Linked DNA regions of Canis lupus familiaris. The protein of the gene in region 1 binds, or shares a complex with, the protein of each later gene. Links are inferred from orthologs where the notes say so. Each region holds a gene or a part of one and is shown in the gene's direction. Other genes may lie near its edges. The genes, in order: RPS6KA3 and BMF.

Evidence for each region.
Region 2: the proteins of RPS6KA3 (region 1) and BMF are in contact, whole or in part, in a crystal structure (PDB 8R58), measured with the Homo sapiens proteins. The link is inferred for Canis lupus familiaris from reciprocal best matches to the Homo sapiens genes RPS6KA3 and BMF. Residues at the interface, in NP_004577.1 of Homo sapiens: Trp252, Phe259, Phe268, Leu281, Ala283, Lys284, Leu285, Gly286, Met287, Pro288, Leu299, Arg300, Phe303, Lys304, Arg305, Asn306, Asn309; in NP_001003940.1 of Homo sapiens: Glu8, Leu10, Glu11, Asp12, Asp13, Val14, Phe15, Gln16, Pro17.

What each region holds. Positions count from the first base shown.
Region 1 is NC_049260.1:16,241,022-16,249,531, reverse strand, and holds the start of RPS6KA3 (ribosomal protein S6 kinase alpha-3), read left to right. Parts: upstream 1-3,661; 5' UTR 3,662-3,676; coding exon 3,677-3,745; intron 3,746-7,524; coding exon 7,525-7,566; intron 7,567-8,510. UniProt on the Homo sapiens protein: Serine/threonine-protein kinase that acts downstream of ERK (MAPK1/ERK2 and MAPK3/ERK1) signaling and mediates mitogenic and stress-induced activation of the transcription factors CREB1, ETV1/ER81 and NR4A1/NUR77, regulates translation through RPS6 and EIF4B phosphorylation, and mediates cellular proliferation, survival, and differentiation by modulating mTOR signaling and repressing pro-apoptotic function of BAD and DAPK1.
Region 2 is NC_049251.1:7,602,809-7,611,476, reverse strand, and holds the start of BMF (bcl-2-modifying factor), read left to right. Parts: upstream 1-4,082; 5' UTR 4,083-4,184; intron 4,185-4,233; exon of another isoform or gene 4,234-4,360; intron 4,361-4,569; 5' UTR 4,570-4,697; intron 4,698-6,522; exon of another isoform or gene 6,523-6,663; intron 6,664-6,865; 5' UTR 6,866-6,870; coding exon 6,871-7,162; intron 7,163-8,637; coding exon 8,638-8,668. UniProt on the Homo sapiens protein: May play a role in apoptosis. Isoform 1 seems to be the main initiator.

The sequences.
Region 1 (8,510 bases):
GTTGTAATTATAGCAGGAAGTTGTTGGGGACAGGGGAAGTTAAATTTGGTTGTCTTGTCATACATCAGGAATGATTTCTTGGAAGTCTAGTCCAGATTTTCGACTGAGGTTTGCTGTTTCCCTTTGCTGTAGTTTCAAGTAATAACTTTCCAATATTTTGGTTCTGAGTGGGAGATTTATGCAGGAGGTGGGGCATAGAATCAGACTTTTGTGCTGGTTTTGTACCAAGGAGCTCCAAAAGACAGTGGAATGTGAGGATATCACTTAACATTATATTATGACATAAAAGGCTCAATGTGAAACTTCTAAAGGAGTGCTGTCCTCTAGAACTATAGTGCTTATCTTGACAAGTAAGCCCCATATATAAAATGTATAGTAGCTATATGAAGACATAAAAAGAAACAGGTGAAAAAAAAAAAAAAAGAAACAGGTGAAATTAATTTCAATAAAATATTTTATTTAACTCAATATATTCAAAATACTATTTCAACATGTAGTCAATAGAAAAATTATTACCGAACTACTTTATATTCTTTTTTTTTGTACTGAGTTTGTGAAATCTGGTGTGAACTTTACACTTACAGCACATCTCATTTGTGACCAGCCAATCTTATTTTAATTATTTCAAGAGCCATGTGTGGCTAGTAGCTACCATATTAGCCTGCACAGGGTGATCTCTAGAGGCAGCTTCTTTGAATAACTAAGAGTTTTCCTTTCTTAAACGGGAAAGCAAAAAGTACTCCTGTTCAGGGTAATATCAACTTCTATGTTCAAATAACTCTTTTTACCACCACCTACAAGAAATATCCCCCAGGTTCATTTGATTTTCTCAAATTATCCCACCCAGAGAGAGTGGTTGCACAACTTTTGGATTTTAAAAGAAATAAATGAAAAAAAGGTTGTTAACAACAACAACAACAACAACAACAACAACAACAACAACAAAAATTCACATTTCTCTTTGGACAAAAGGAAAGAGAAGGGTGTTTTTCTAAATCAATTCACAAATACTTATCAAGTTGATCCTATGTGCAAGACGGCTGTGCTAGTGGTAGACAGCACATTATTAACAGTTCATTTCATTCTTAATTCCTGCAATATGAGTACCGGCCACAGTAACTTCGTTTTAGAAGTATTCTTCTAGTTTTCAAGGTAAAAAGAATAAAAGTTGATACCGAAATCAACTTTTCAGTATACAACTTGATTTATTACTGTGGAATAATTCGCACGGGTTAGTGTTAGACACATAATAACTGCCTCCTTAAATACAAGGTATGTTTTTACTCAAGCAAGAATCTCAGTTGTAATAACTGATCAGTTTGGTGGACCAATTTACCTTAAACTAACCAAATTGACCAACTTCTTTTCGCTATAAGGAATGGTAATATGGGTTTGCAATGTAAATGAAAGAAAGAAAAATTAGGCACTTCCTACATAAATATAAAGCAGCGCACAACTCCTTATTCTTAAACTTCTGCGAACTGGTTTTACCTTCCGGAATTACGGAGACTGTGCTGCCAAATTAGCTGAGTCTGGGTCCAGACTGGATTTGCAGCACTAGAATCAAGCATGTTGGGGGAGGTGACACAATCACGAGCTAAGTCCTCCCCACCCCCCGCCGCACAGACCACGCTGAGCCTGCCCAGATGTTGCTCAACCCTGAGCTGTCCCCCTGAGTCCAAGGCTGCGAGAGAGGGCGCACGGCGAGGACTTCCGGCCACCTCCTTGGGCCCCCTAAACAGATGGAGTCGCTTCTGGTGGCCACGAGGCTCCCGGGCCTCGAGCTTGTGCCAGAGGGCGTGCAGGCGAAGGCAGCAGAAAGATCCGAACACCTGCCTTCTTCGGGGCCAGTGAGAAACCTTGCACCGCCCGCGCAGACCTGGCCCGCCAGGAGTGGGGCTCTAATCTCAACCTCACACCTGCCTTAGGGAGGAAGACAAGGGCTCTCCAGGTGTCTGGGTCCCGGGATGATGAAAGCGAGCTGTTAAAAGGCGTGCACCGGAAGCGCAGCGGGGGACGCGAGGTGGCCGCGGGGCGTGGGAGGACCGGGACGCCTGGGCCCAGGCCTGAAGGGATGAAGGCACTGGCCTTCCCGGAGATTTCCCTTTACTTTTTTTCCTTCTCGTAGAGAGGGTTGGCCAGTGGCTGCAGTAGCTTTCCACTCAGCCCAGCGACTTTTACAGAATTTTGCCCAGGCGCACGGAGTCTGCTAGGCACCTGGCGTTGGGAACACGAGGTGGAACCGCACCCCCCACCCCCCCACCCCAGCGACACTCAGTCCCGACGCCCAGGCCTCTTCCCACAAACTCTCAGTCCTTTTGGATTCCGTTGCCGTCTGGGGATTGGTTTTCCTTAACCCAGGGCTTCCCTATCTTGGGCTGGAGGAGTTAGGACCTCCCTCGCTTTCTCTCCTCCACCCTGGGCCAGCCTGATTTTTTAATCTAATCTTTTATTTAGAGTCAACAGTGGAGCAAGAACCCCAGGCTCCTGCCAACAAGATATTTTAAAATAATTCCCCAACCTCTGCTGAGTGGGGCAGCCTCAAGGAACCTCCTTGTTTTTTTTCCTCGTACAGATTTAGGTACCAGGGAGCGGGGACTTTGAGAGTCGAGGTTCATGCCCGAGGGCTCTGCAGACTTTGGGTGGGGGGCGACTCAAGCAAGACAAATGAATTCCAAATATTAAAGATATAACACAACTGCCTCGATTTGGAGAGCCTTGAATCAAATCGAGAGACGAACCTCCAGGGGGCTCCAGGGCACAAAGCTTACGTGTCCCCATCCTGGGGGACGTTACGGAGGAGGGGGCGGCAGGTGAGTGCCCAGCGTGTGAGCCTGGATAGGGCGGATCCTGGCCCATTAAAGGATGTGCCCATAGACACTATGCTCCCCACAAACACCCACTGAGGAGTCAGACCGAAAAGACACCCACTCACTCCCCGGGTCCTTGACACCCGACTGCGCCCACTGTGCCTCGCCCACCTCCCTCCCCAGCTAGGCGGAGACCACTGTTCTCTACATCCTTAAGTAGCCTCCGACCTGCTCGGACCCTTAGCCTAGGGCTCCCAGCCTTTAGCTTTCATTGCCCTTCCCCTTTTCTTTCCCCTGCCGCCCGCCGACGCCCCCAGATCTCTCCGGCTCGCCCTTCCTGAAAGTAGGCGAGGCCCAGAAGCTGAGGTTGGGGCGAGGAAGGAGGGAGGAGCGAAGCGCGGCGGCCGGGGGCGTGTCTTCCCAAGCCCCGCCCCCGGGTGCGCGCGGCGGTGGCGGCGGCGGCCGAGCCTCGCTCTGAGAGACAGGTATCGCTTAGGCGCCATGTTGTGAGCGGAAGTGGGGGAGCGCGCGGCCGCCGCTGTTCTGCTGGGAGCGGGCGCGGGAACCGGCGGGGGGGGCGGAGCTGTAGTCCCGGCGGCGGAAGGAGGAGAGGAAGAAAGGGGCGAGACCCGGTGCCCGGCAGCGGCGCGAGGCTCTCGCTCGGCGCGCGGACATCTCCAGCCAGGCGCGCGGCGTTCGAGGGTCGGTGTCGGCGCCGAGCCCTCTCCCGGGCAGCCGGCGCTGGTGCTGCTGCTGCTGCCGCCGCCGCTGCTGCTGTCGTGGGGCTCGGGCGGCGACAGAGCGGGGCCGGCCGCGGGGCGGGCGGGGAGGGAGGAGGCGGTGAAGGCGGCGGGCCGGGGGGGAAGATGCCGCTGGCGCAGCTGGCGGACCCGTGGCAGAAGATGGCTGTGGAGAGCCCGTCCGACAGCGCTGAGGTGAGTGCCGCCGGGCGGCCGGGGGCTGGCGCGCCCCTCCCCTCGCCCCCGCCGGCCAGCTCCCCTCCCTGGAGCTGGCCACTTGGCCCCTTCCTCTGCTGCTCGCGTCTCCCCTCGGTCTGGGATTCCGGTTTGGGTAGTTGGGGTTGGTCTATTTGCCCTTCTCTTCCACCCGCACCCTCACCTCCCCTCCCTCGCTCGGGGGGCTGTGGTGTGGTGGCGCGTAGGGTTTGGAGTGGGCGCTGGGGCTTTGCAAGAAGCTGATTTTAATCAACTTTGCGTGGGGGGACCGGGAAGCGGAGCGGGGGCCGAAGAGGAGTTGGGAAGTTTGGCCCTGCCTGCTTGGGGGCTTCCCTGGACCCTGGCGACTTTGGAGTGTAAGGGAGGGGTATGGATTGGGTTCGCTGGGAAGCAGGGACTCCCGAGTCCGGCCAGGGGAGGGAGTTGGTGCTGTGAGTCGGGCGCGCAGGGGCCAGAACGGCCCAAGGCAGGACTGGCGACCTGTGGGGGCTTCGGGTAAGGGGTACAGGACAGCCAAGGGTTTTTGCCTTCCCCCCAGTCTGTCTGCCGCAGCGGTTTCTGCTGGTGCAAAGGAGAAAGTGGAAGCCTGAGATCCACCCCCCTCCCCCATTTCTGAGGTCGCTGAGCTCGAGGACCCCAGTCCCTAGGAGCTTTAACTTGAGTTTCCTGTCCATGGAGGTGAGAGGGTGATGTTCAAGGCGATCATTAGCCGCCCTAAAGGGCTTTCAGGTTTTCTTCGCCCGGGATCTATTCGATGACGGTCCCTGAGACACCTAACCGAGTGCCAAAAACCCAAAACAATATACCCAAACACGGCAAAACAATTTCCCCGGACACAGCCTAGCATCGAGCTTTCGCAGCCGTCCCTGTCCCAGAACCAACTCGGGGTCTGCGAAAATAATCCAGACAAGACCCATTCCAGGGCATCAGCGCTCCTCTCCGAAGTGGAAAATCAATTCCTGATGGTGGCACGTCTGTGATTCTCCCTTCTTGACTTTTTGCTATCTTCTATCCCCGCAGCGGACTTTGGGGGATTACAGGATGATAGCCTGCGTGTGTGTAATAGTTAGTGAGTGACCCCATTTCTGGAAAGCATGACTGAAACGCGGGGGTGGAATGGGGCAGGCTCTGATGAGTGGTGTACTTGGCGGCAGCCGCTGCCCTGCCGGCCTCCGCAGTGTGAGAGGTGGATAGGGTTACTGGTTACGTCAGTAAGACCGAGGCTCAGTTTGATCTGAGATGCGGGACACTTGCATTCTCGGGTATAATGGAGGGGGAGGGGAGTCAGTTCAAATTGCTTTTCAATTTTTTCCTAGTCACCTCCACCCACTGCTGTATAAAATGTTTACTTGCTCTCCTTAACGTGAGCAGAGTTGTAATAGTGCTTACGGCTGGTACTTAGTATTTTGTGACTTGGATCATATTTTTAAAATCTAAGCTAAACGCTGCTCTTCAATGGAAAAGATATTGATAGATGTTTTCTAAATATTTTTAAAAAGGAAATCACGTTTTTAAGACTAGCAGGATTACATTTAAATTTTTGTTAGCCTGTTTAATACTATCGATGTATTATAAGGAAATTGAATTTAAAATGTTTTATCATCCTTTGAATGGATAGTATGGAAATTAGTATGCAAACAGACTCTTTTCATTCATTTTTTCCTTCAGATTTATTTGCATTGAGTAATATAGCTAAAAGCTTTATAAAATATGTTCTCAAAGTGCTGACCTTGTGAAAAGAAATTGAATTGCTTTGAGCCTGATTGTTACATGCAAACGGTAACATTTGCAACTCATAATCAGTCCACATTTCTGCTTGGCACGTATCAATGTGTTAAAAAATCATTTAAAATTCCACCTTATCTTTTTTCTACATAGCATACATTTGGATAAGGAAGGCACAAAACTGATATTTATTTAGCACTTACTATATGCCAGATACTGTGGTACATGCTATTTCATTTTATCCTTCCTATGACCCAACAGAGTAGGGTTGTGATCCTCATTATTACAGATTAAGAAACGGAATATCTGAAGTTAAGGGCACAAAGATTATAAATAGTAAACGACAGAGCCATAACTCAAAGCCGAGTGGGTATAATTCATGTGCTTTGCTTTATATTAAGGTAGCTGCTTCAGATCCTTTGTGGAAAAATTCAGGGTATAAATAAATAAGCCAGTAGTTGGAGGTCATGTATTTTTCAGAAACAGTTACGGTATTATAAGCGATCGCACTTGTTAAAGCCTAGTTATTTCAGTTACTGTCATGGTTTCCAGAACCTGGCAGATAGGATTCCACAACTTGCCATTTTCAAAGAATTTTCTTGATATTCTGGCATAAGATATGTCACAGGGAGCTGGAGTTGCCTAGATTAATTTTTTAAAGATTTTTTAATGGCCTTTAGATATTTTGTTGCCTTTGGTGGTTCATCTGTTTCAAGTAAATTACTTCTGATACAATTTTGGAAATTGAAGCCAGCAAGGAAAAGGTTGAGAATTTTCATTCAGAAGTCTAATATTGAACTTAATATTATGTCTGCTATTATGCCATCTCCTCCCCCAGTAAGTTCTTAATAGAAAGTAATTATATTTTACCAGAATAAAGTCATTTTTTGAAAGATATTTACTTGAGTAAATTCATCGAAATTTTTTCTTTCTGGGCTAAAAGGTGTCAGGGTTGGTCTCTATAGAGATTTACATTTGTGGTCTGATTCCTAGTAGATTGTAAAATCTTGAAAGGAGAGCCTTTTTTTCCTTTGTATTCTCAGCACTTAACACAGTGCCTGGCACATGTATATTATGAATCCAATAGACATCCACTGAGTGAATTATGATGGTCAGGAATAGGGTGATTATCAATGTTACTTCTGTTCTAATCATTTTAATCTTACATTGAAATATGAGCAATCTTAAAAACCTGAGTACCTCACCGAAAATACAAGGCAGTTTCTTCATTCCTTTACATAGCCTTCCTGCTTTTAAGACCTCACATGGGTCTCATGGTGCTCAAAACAAAAAAACCCTTGTGGTTAACTCAAACATGGGTCATAACATGATAGGCTAGAACTAGGCCAAATGTTTAAAGAAGCAAATTTAGGATAATAAAGGAAGTACTATGTAAGCAGTCAAGGTTAGTACAAGATTAAAAACAAAATAGTGTCCTAAATAGTCTAGGTGAATTCACAACTCTTTAGTGAGTTATTTAAAGATGCTAGTATGTTTTTGAGTGTCTGACGGTTTAGGAGACAGATATCAAGGAATTGTGACTATTCTGTAAATTCCTTGCCACTGCTGTCAGAGATAACATTTACTAGATCATAAGCCTGACCTAAAGTGACACTTTTTCTAAGTTTTCAATAAAGGATAAATGATAGTAAATGTAAATAAGAACAATTTTAATTAATTTAGCCTTAATATACTTAAGGTTATTTTTGCTTTATAGAAATGTGCTGTATAAAAATAGCCACCTTGAATTGTTTTAAATAGCAAGTACCCATAATGCATTAAAATATTAATTATATAAATATTTTCTTTATAAAAAATGAGACCCTTGTGTTGGAAACCATCTTCAGTGAATGTGCATCCATTTTTATCTTCAAAGATTGTATTGGATTCTGGAGTATTTCTACTATATTGATATTAGGTTTCTTATTTTTATCTGTAGGGAAATACATTCTATTGAAGTATGATCATTGATTTTGAAAAATGTTTTATTAAGTTTCTTTTCCTTTTCCTGTTTCATTTCTATCACCTTTCAGGTTTTTTTCTTTCCCCCAAGTGAAGATCTGAGGAGAGGACAGGTATTGTTACATGTCAACTGTCAATAGTAACTGTGACACATTACTGAGCACTTCATTGTTTTCAGTGATTATGATATTATAAGATGTCAGTTTTTGTTCAACTAAAATTTAGGAAAGTTTGCTTTTTTTGCAGCTCTTCCTATACTAATTGGATTGATCCAAAATGTGAAACTTCTTTGGTACATTTAAATTTTAAGATAAAGAGATAAACCTAAAGAAACAAGTATAGGCAGACTTTGCCTTTTCTTTAGTATGTTTCTGGAAATTAAAATGAGTATATCCTATTTTTATTTAAGGAGACTGGCATAATTGGGATGTGCACTCTTGACCAAGGACATGATAATTGGTAAATTATAGATAAAAAAATATAGTAGATCATTTATCGAAAGTCTGAATTGCAGAATTGTAAAGATTTTTTTAAAAATTTATCACACACTAAAAAATTCATATCATTGTGATCATTGACAAGATTTGCTCTAGAGTTCCATACTCAGGGACATGTGATATAGCAGGCTGTGAATGTTGGGTGATGTCAAGGGCGCCAGTTTCCCAGTGCAGACTGGATGCTTTAGACCCAGTGATCCAGATTACAGTGTACAACAGTGACATTTTGGTGGTCCCTTGGTAATGCATGAGTGTTATAGAGCTCAGTTGTTTATGTGTTTTGATGGATAACAAGTTTTAAAGCATTGGAATGCAATTGTGCAAATCTATATTATACATGCAATTCCCCAATTCACATAATAGAAAATAAAAACAACCAACTGCAGTTTTATATTTGGCATTAAATGTCTTCTTCTACCCCACTTCAGATTTGCTAGTTTCCTGTGTCACTAATCTGGAACAATTAGCAGATCTCACATATTCCAGCTTATCAATTTAATACCAAGTAGCATAAAAACAAAGATAAAACAACTGTAAATGTTAGTTTTCTGAAACAGATT
Region 2 (8,668 bases), on another chromosome or scaffold:
CCCACTGAACCAGTGACTGGCAAGCAATGAGCTCATTGACTGGGAAATCAAGTCTCTCTACTTGCTTACCCAATTAGCAGAAACCAATCTGTCTATGTGAGTATATTCTCTCTCTCTCTCTCTCTCTCACACACACACACACACACACACACTGCAACTCAGAAGAAAGCGACTATTCCTTTGCAGACAGATGGAATGATGCTCTAGGAGATAAATTCATTCCGTTAGAGCAATACTAGCAAGGGAAGGACGCTCAAATCTTCCAGGTTCCTGGTCTTTCTTAGGGACATGATCCTTCCTGGAGGGAGTTAAGAGGCAAGGGGGTCGAGCATTATGGACTCCTCCACCAAGACCCCCACCCTACCCATAAATCAATTTCCAATCTAACCCCTCCCTGGGGGTTGAGTTACAAACCTCAGCAACCCCAGGGCAGCCTGCCTGGTAATTCCTATTATTCAGCTGTCAGCTGGTTTTTTTTTTTTTTTTTTAAACCCTCCCTTCCCAGTGATCCAGTTACCAGAGTTTTAGAGCCCATTCCTTGTCTCAGAGAGAAATCCTATAGCCAGGTGAAACAATGGAGAGGGCCGCTGCCTGCTTTCTATAGGGAGCTGGGTTTTCTCTTCTGTTGAAAGCAGCCTCCTTTTAACTCTTTGCATCCCTTCCAGATTGTTAGGAGGGTCTGACTCCATATCAGGCCTCCATGCTGGTGCCTTTCAGAGCAACTATGCCTTTCTCTGGGGACCTTCCTTCTAGAGCCATCATAAGGAAAAAACAAACTGGTACAGAGGTGGGAAGAGAAAGAGAGAGAGAGGAAATTCTCCAAAATAGATAGCTGTGGCTGGCGGTAACCAAGGCATTACTGTGGTCAGGGGTTCAGAGCCTCAGATCTCCAGCCAAGCAGGTCCTGACACTGCTGAGTCTGCCCTGCACTGGCAGGGAAGGAACGGTATAGAGGGAGGAGTCTGCTTTGACAGTGATGAGAGGTGGGGAGTGAGGCTCCTGACCTCCCTGACCCCTTTATCCCTGACAATCTTTTCTGGTCTCTGCAGCTCAGAAGGCTGGGCCCCTGCTGCTTGACCTTAGGGGCTGAGAGCACAGGAGGCCAAGCCACTGGGTGTCCTTCAGAACCAGTCTGAGAGAGGGGCTGGGAAGGCCTGGGAGAGAGGTCTTAGAAGAGATGACACTAGATGGTGTGACCCTCCTCCCATCTTGCAAACTACCCAGATCCACTTAGGTGATCCCTTTTGCTCTCAGCCCTACTCCCCTACATTGGTTATTTTTAACTTCTTATAGGGCCATAGGCCCTTTTGGGAAACTGTTGTAAGCTATGGAACCACCCCTCAAAATGTTTGTGTGAGCCCACATATACAATTTAGCCAATTTCAGGGGTTCATAGACCCTACAGCTAAGGACACCCTGGTGAGTCTGGCAAGTACATGGATCCCAGATAAAAATCCTGCTCTACCATCTTCCTTGCCTTGTGGCCCCAAATCTGCTGTGATGAAGCAGACAGAGCAGTAGCAGCTTGGAGCAAGGGTTGGGGAGTGGAGTAGGTGAAGAGATAAGGGGAATTAGTATGACCTCTCCCTCTCAGGGCCTATGATGCCTGAGAAGACAGGTTCAGAGCTGCTGAGTCCTTCAGTTCCATTCCTGATCCTAAGTAATACACATGGTCATTACTGGCCAGCTTGAGACATTGGCCCAGGTGGAAAGCCATTAAGAAGAGAAGGATAGAAGGAAGGAGGGGAAAGAGGTCTGTGCGTGGTGAATGTGGCAAGGGCTCCCCAGTGCCCTGCATGGAAGCTGGGCTTGGTTTCCTAATTTACCCACATGTGGCATGAATGCTAGGTCACCCTGACCAGGTGACACTCCCTCTTAGCCAAGCCTCCTGGTAAAGTAACATACCTCCTTTTGGCTCCAGCACCTCTTTCTGAACATCCGTCAACTCCTGGAGGATGGGGCTGCTGGCCAACTTTGACCCTCATCTTTTTTCCCTTTTCTCTTTTCTCTGGACTTTGGAGATAGTGTTTTCCTGCTCTAGCAACCACAGCCCTCAATATGCCTGGTTGGCTCTCTTTCAGGTATGCTTTGAGGGAGCTCAGGGAAGAATGGGTAGGAAAAAGGTACAAGGAGACTTCAGGCTCCTCTGGGCTAAGCATTCCAGCTCCACTAAACTTAAATCTGCCTGAGTTTACAACCAGAGAGAGCAACTTGGTGGTCAGAGGACTGTCCATCCCGACTATCCCTGGGGTCAGGCCCATCATCGACCACCCAGTCTATTGCAGTGACTGGCTCTCTCTCACTGATTTTGGCTTCTTTTATCTTTCTTAAAATGCAGCCTTAGTTAAGTTACTCTCCTTCCTCCTCCCCTTCCTCTTCTTCTTCTTCTTCTTCTTCTTCTTCTTCTTCTTCTTCTTCTTCTTCTTCTTCTCTTTTTCTTTTTTTAAGGATTTTATTTATTCATGAGAGACACACAGAGGCAGAGATATAGGCAGAGGGAGAAGCAGTCTCCCTGCGGGGAACTCCATGCAGGACTCGAACCCAAGAGCCTGGGATCGTGACCTGAGCCAAAGGCAGACACTCAACCACTGAACCACCCAGGTGTTCCTTTTCCTTCTTTTTTTTTTTTTTTTTTAAGATTTTATTTATGTATTGATGAGAGACACATAGAGAGAGGCAGAGACATAGGCAGAGGGAGAAGCAGGCTCCCTGCGAGGAGCCTGATGGGAGACTGGATCCCAAGATCCTGGGATGATTACCTGAGCTGAAGGCAGATGCTCAACCACTGAGCCACACAGGTGCCCCCAAGTCACTCATCTTCTATAAAAAAATCTTTGGTGGCTCCCTTTTGCCTCCAGTACAGATTCTCCAGCCTAGCATTGCATGGACACCTATGTACTCTGACCTGAATCTATCTGTCCATGACCACCCTTTCCCAAATCCTGGGATGCAACCAATGACCCCTCCTTCAGCCTTCTCTGCTCCCAGGACAGATTCTCCAGTTCAGCATTTTATTCTGCTGCCGTGGGCTTAGGGTACTTTACCTGGTTTTCCTTATCGAAAAATCTCCCCATTCTTCAAGGCGCAACTCAAAAGCCATCTTCCTGAAGCTTTCCCCAGTGTTTTGTGTCCTGAATTTTTCTGCAGCTTCCAGCAGTCCTTGTCCCTAAAAATTAACACATTTCATGTCACATTCCATAATTTTCGAATCTTCCTCTCCTGAATAAACTGTAAGCTCCCTGAGGACAGGCACAGGGTTTTGGCTCCTAATCCAGTATTTGGCACAATGCAGGTATTCAATGAATGTTTGTGAAGTGGCCTGGGGACTTCCTTATGGATAGCAGGAGATCCACAGGACACATAATCTTCTTGGCAGCACAAACCCCATCTCTGGATGCTGCCATAAACAGGATGTGTGTCAACTGCTCAAGCAGCCCCTGCATTCTCGATCTCCCCTCTCCTCGGCTACATACTTATTTTGTAGGTGTCCACGCCCCCTCAAGAAGAGGACCTGAGGGTCCCTCTGGATGTGTTAGATCTGAATGTCACTCAGTAGTAACAGTGCCAGACGCAGGTGTCCGCATGCTTCCCGAAGATTCGCGCCTGGAGTTTCTTTCCGCCGGGCTAGGCAGGCGGGAGGGCGCTTTGCCACCAGGCCGGGGTCCACGAGGACACGCACCTTGCCCTCGACGGACGCCGCCCGCTGCGTCCTCCTCTTCTCCCTTTCTGGACGCTCCGTCATTATTCAGACCATTCCCGAGAAAGAGAAGACAAAAGTCATTTTGGCGCCCCCTCTCTCCCTTCTAATGGAGAGGACCAGGGCCTTTCCGGTCCTTCCCGGGCTTGCGCTCGGGATCGGAATCTGCGCCGACTACGGCTCTCCGATTGCGTTTCTGACGGGAGCCGGAATTTCGCTCGGCCCCTTGCAGTGTTTCCAAGGGAAGGTTGGTACATTCGTGACGGTCCCTGGCAGCCGCCCAGCCCGGGACTCGGGGCTCCGCTCGCCATTGGCCGCCGGGGGCGTGACGCGCCGGAGGCGGGGCCTCATCAGCTGTTTGCGGGATGCCCCGAGCGGGCGTATTTTGGAAACAATACCGCGCGGTGCACGGCGGCCTCCTCCCGCGCCGGCCCGCCAGCTGCCGCCGCCGCCCTTGCCCGCGCCGCCCGCCACCCGCCGCAGCCCGGTGAGCGCGCGGGCGGCCGGGGGCCGGGCGGAGTTGGATCGCACCTCGGCGGGAAGTGGGGCGAGGAGTCGAGCTGCGCATGGGGGCCCGAGAAGGGTTGGGCTGCGGGCGTGTGGGGGGACCATGGAGGACTGGAGCGCCGGGGTGCGGGAACGCGGTGCAGGACCCTTATCTAGGTGCGCTGCTCCGCGAGGGAACTTGGGGGCAGTAGCATTTCAGACAGCAGGGAGTTGGGTCCAGGTGGGCAGGGGAAGCTGCGGTTCACTGCTGAGCAGCCCTGGGCTCCCGAGAACGGCCCGGCCTCTGGATCTGACTCGGGGGTAGGACAGGGGGTGGGGGGGCGTCCAGCCTCCCTGCGGAGTCTGAAGGCTCCTCTCCTTAACAGCTGGGCTCTTTCCCTCCTTCCCAATTGACTCTGGGCGCCAAGCCCCCGAGTGCTCGTCACGCTGGACCCTGGCGCGGAGCCCTGGCATCACGACTCGGAGGCCGAGACTCTCTCCTGGAGTCACCCAGGTCTGCTGTGTGTCGTGTGGGTGTGTACGCATGTATGTGTGCGTTCCCAGATTTTAACTCCTACGGAACCTCCGAGTGCCTGGCTATTCTCCTAGGAGGAGGAGTCTTAAGTTCAGCATCCCTCTTACAGCCCTTCGGGGCTGAGATGGTTCCAAAGCGGGCTTTGGTTCCCCTTTGCTAGGAATAAAACCTTCCCAGGCAGTGCTCTCAAGAAGTGTGCTCCTCCTACCAGTTTGGACATCACCTCCTCAGCTCAGGCGAAGAGAGCAGAGGGTCTCTTTACCATATCCCAGTTTACACTTGACTTTGCCCAGCACCCCTCGGGAGGCTCCCACGTACAGAGGAGCCACCTGCAGTTCTTGTGGAGAATGGGTAGGGTCCCCAGGGCTTGCAGAGACACACCCTATGGCTGCATTTCCCCGACAGTCCAGTCCAGGCAAGGGTTGAACTTTGGGGCCTTGCTGGGTGGGGGAGGGGGAGGTGACTGGCTTCAAAGGAAAACCCAAGACAATGACTCCTGCTTGTGATTAGCTTTGGAGGGCCCCCTCTTAGCCTGGGATTGCCAGTCTGCAGAGAGAAGGCTGAAAGGCTGGAGAAGAGCCCCTGCCAGGTGACTGGCAAGACAGTACTTGGTCCTTTCAGCAAGAAACTTTGTTTCCTGTTGCTGATAAGCTGAAGATCTCCTACCCTCCTTTGGGAAACACTTTCTAAAGAACACCATGTGCCTGTTTTGCCATCCAAGCTGGCATCTCCTCACTCACCAGGGAAGAGGGCAAAGATAGGGTCATAGTAGCTCATGGACTGGTTGGGATGGAGGGAAGGTTGAAGCAAGCGCCTCGGAGAGAGCTTGCATTTTGGAAAGCCAAGTTTCTGAATTTAAGTGAGATTCCTTTAAGTATCTTACCAGCCTACAGACCATTTGGCTTGTTCTTCAAAGGCAAGAAAGAGACTGGGAGACAAAATTCCCAGGGGATCTCTAATTGAATCTGGCAGTGACAAACAGTATCCCTCTGAATCCCAAACCATTCAGGTAGTTGTTGCTTCTGGCTGCCCCAGGGACCCTAACAAGTTCCTGGTGTATGTGTGTGTATGTAGGGGGCTGAGTTGGGAGCTCAAGATGCTGGGTGGCTCCAAGCTCAGATTTCCAAGAACCATCAGGTGGAGCAAGAGGAACTTCTTTATTACCAAGAAACTCCTATCAACAACCTGAGTAGTACAGAGACAGTGAGTGAGGTCACAAAAAGAGGGCTGAATTTCACTTCCTTCTGTAAGGAGGGTTAGACCAATCTCAGGTTCGGTGCCGACAGGAATGGTAGGTAGACTGTGGGCAAAGAAGATTAAAGTCATGGAGACGAGTGAGTAGGCTGAGCTGGGGGAGGCTGGCCACATTGCTGGATGTTGGACCTACCCTCTAGGCCAAGCTGTGGTGGGCAGATGGCTCTGCTCTGTTGGGAGGCCAATGACTCACTTGGGTCTTTCTGCCCTCTCTCCCAGGACCCACTCTTACCACACCGTGGAGCCTGTTTGTTGTGTTGAGCAAGCAGGGGGTGGAGACTAGGGTAGATCGGCAGCTGGGCGGGGCTTAACAGGTTTGGAGGGAACCTGGCTGCCCTAGAGTTGCTGGCTTTTGTTTTTGCTGCTGAGCCTGGAGCTCAGTTCAGACTGAAATGAGAGCTTGGTGGTTACTCCTCAGGGCAGTGAGTGAGTGAGTGTGTGTGTGTGAGAGAGAGAGAGAGCGAGCGAGCACTGTGTGTACAGCCAGTCCCAGCACCCTCTGCCCTCCCATAGCCACTCACAGGGTCTGGTCTTGTTGACATTTCCCCAGGTGTCCTGCATGCTTGTAGCCGTTGATCATACCCCTGCTAGTGCTCAGAGTCAATAGCAGTCAGACTTCATGACCGGAACCAGCCTGGGTCAGGAGAAAAGACCAAGGTGGGGGGTGGCTCCCAGAAGGCCCAGGGAAGAGGTATGGAGCAGTGAGGCTGTCCTCAGCCTTTGGGGCGGGTGTCATCCTTGGTAGTACTTTATCACCAGTTGTCTGTCATCAGTACCTGGCCCTACTCACCCAAATAAGAAGGGGAAGCAGGAAAGAAAAAAGGGGAGGGGAATCCCTCAGCTTTGGCCTGGGTAGAAGCAGCATCCCAGAGGCCTGCATTGTGCTCTAACAGGGGAGATGGAGCCGCCTCAGTGTGTGGAGGAGCTGGAGGATGATGTGTTCCAGCCAGAGGATGGGGAGCCGGGGACCCAGCCTGGGAGCTTGCTCTCTGCTGACCTGTTTGCCCAGAGCCAGCTGGACTGCCCCCTCAGCCGTCTGCATCTCTTCCCTCTCACCCACTGCTGTGGCCCTGGGCTTCGACCCACCAGCCAGGAAGACAAGGCCACCCAGACCCTCAGTCCGGCCTCCCCAAGTCAGGGTGTCATGCTGCCTTGTGGGGTGACCGAAGAGCCCCAGCGACTCTTTTATGGTGAGTGCTCTTAGCCTCAGGACTCCTCCCATAGAGACTGGGGGAAAAGAGGGGACTTCCCCTCCCCAAACGTGCACTTTGTTATTTCCTTCCCCAAATTGAACAGCAGGGGCTATTGATTCCTCGATTCTTGTCATTCTGCTTCTCTGCTTGTCATTGCTCTTCACCTGTGCTCCTTAGGCACTGAGAAGGGCAAATTGCTATGCCTGCCATCATTTCTGCCTTTTTGTCCGTTTCTGCAGGGATCCTTGGGTCTGTGGTACCTTTTGGGATAGGAGAGTGGTACCTGGGCCTTGAGTTTTACATCCTGTGGCCCGTTGAGCGGCCCAGCCTTTTGTGTCCTGGGAGTGATATGCCTTTTGTAAATTGGCCAATGTGGCCCCAGTGAAGGTTGGGAGATCTGTGTGAATCGCTGTTGACACTGAAGGGAAAAACCCGGCCCTTTCTGGGAGGGGAAGATTCCTGAAGGCAGAAGGTGTCACTTGGGACTTTCTGTGCTTGGAAGGGGAACTAGAGAAAGAGGTTGGGCCTGCCGGGGCTCGATGCCAGTAGAGGGGCTGTTTCCAAGGCTCAATCAGACAAGACCCCTTCATTTGTGGGCTTAAATGGTTTGCTTTATGAGTAACATGCCCTCCTCTGGCAAAGGGACAGGGTTAGACACTTAGTCTGCTTTCTTCTTTTAGCACAATAGCTTATGGAGGGAGGGGAAGGGCTTGGAGGCGAACTTGCTATGTCTGATGGAGCATATTGAGAAGACGCTGCAGTTATTCCCAGAGGGAGCTGCCCTGCAGTTCTTTTTGGAGTTTGAGGAGATGGATAAGGCCGGCAGGGAAGAAGGAACAGAGGAAGAAGGCAGGCAGGCAGGCACCCCTAGCGGCAGCTCGACTGCCAGCACTGGGGTAGGGTGCAGCGCTGGTCTCTAGCTCTTGCGGTCTGGCCTGGGGCTCCTCCAGAGAGGAACTTGGCTATCCAGTGGGTCTGAAGAGTTTGCTCTCCCTAGTTTTAGTACCATTGTCCCGAGCTGTGGGACCTGGGCCCAGCCAGACGAAAAAGTGAAGGCACATTTTGGTTTTCTCTTTCTCTGCCTTGCTTTGCTCAACCCAGGAACTCTGGAGAGCTGCCTCCGGTGCTTTTCCAGAGAAGAGCTTCAACCTGCTACTGCATGAAAAATAAATTGTGGTCAAGCATAGCTTGGTAAATAAAGACAGAAGGCTGGCAGGTTCACCCACACATACTACTTGTACCCTGGCACTGCCTGTGAATGGAGAACTACAGGGAAGGCTGGGACCATTCCCTCCCGTTCTCTGAACGGCAGCTTTTAGACGCCTGGGCAGCCAGCAGATCTGTCTGTCCAAACCTGGCAGAGTGCCCCGATGAAGGCCTCGGCCCCAGGTCTCAGCAGGGAGCGTCAGGCACCTCGGGGTGGATAGTGGAGTTGTGGAGAACGCTGAGATGTGGGCCCTCTGTCTTCGCAGGCAACGCTGGCTACCGGCTCCCTCTCCCTGC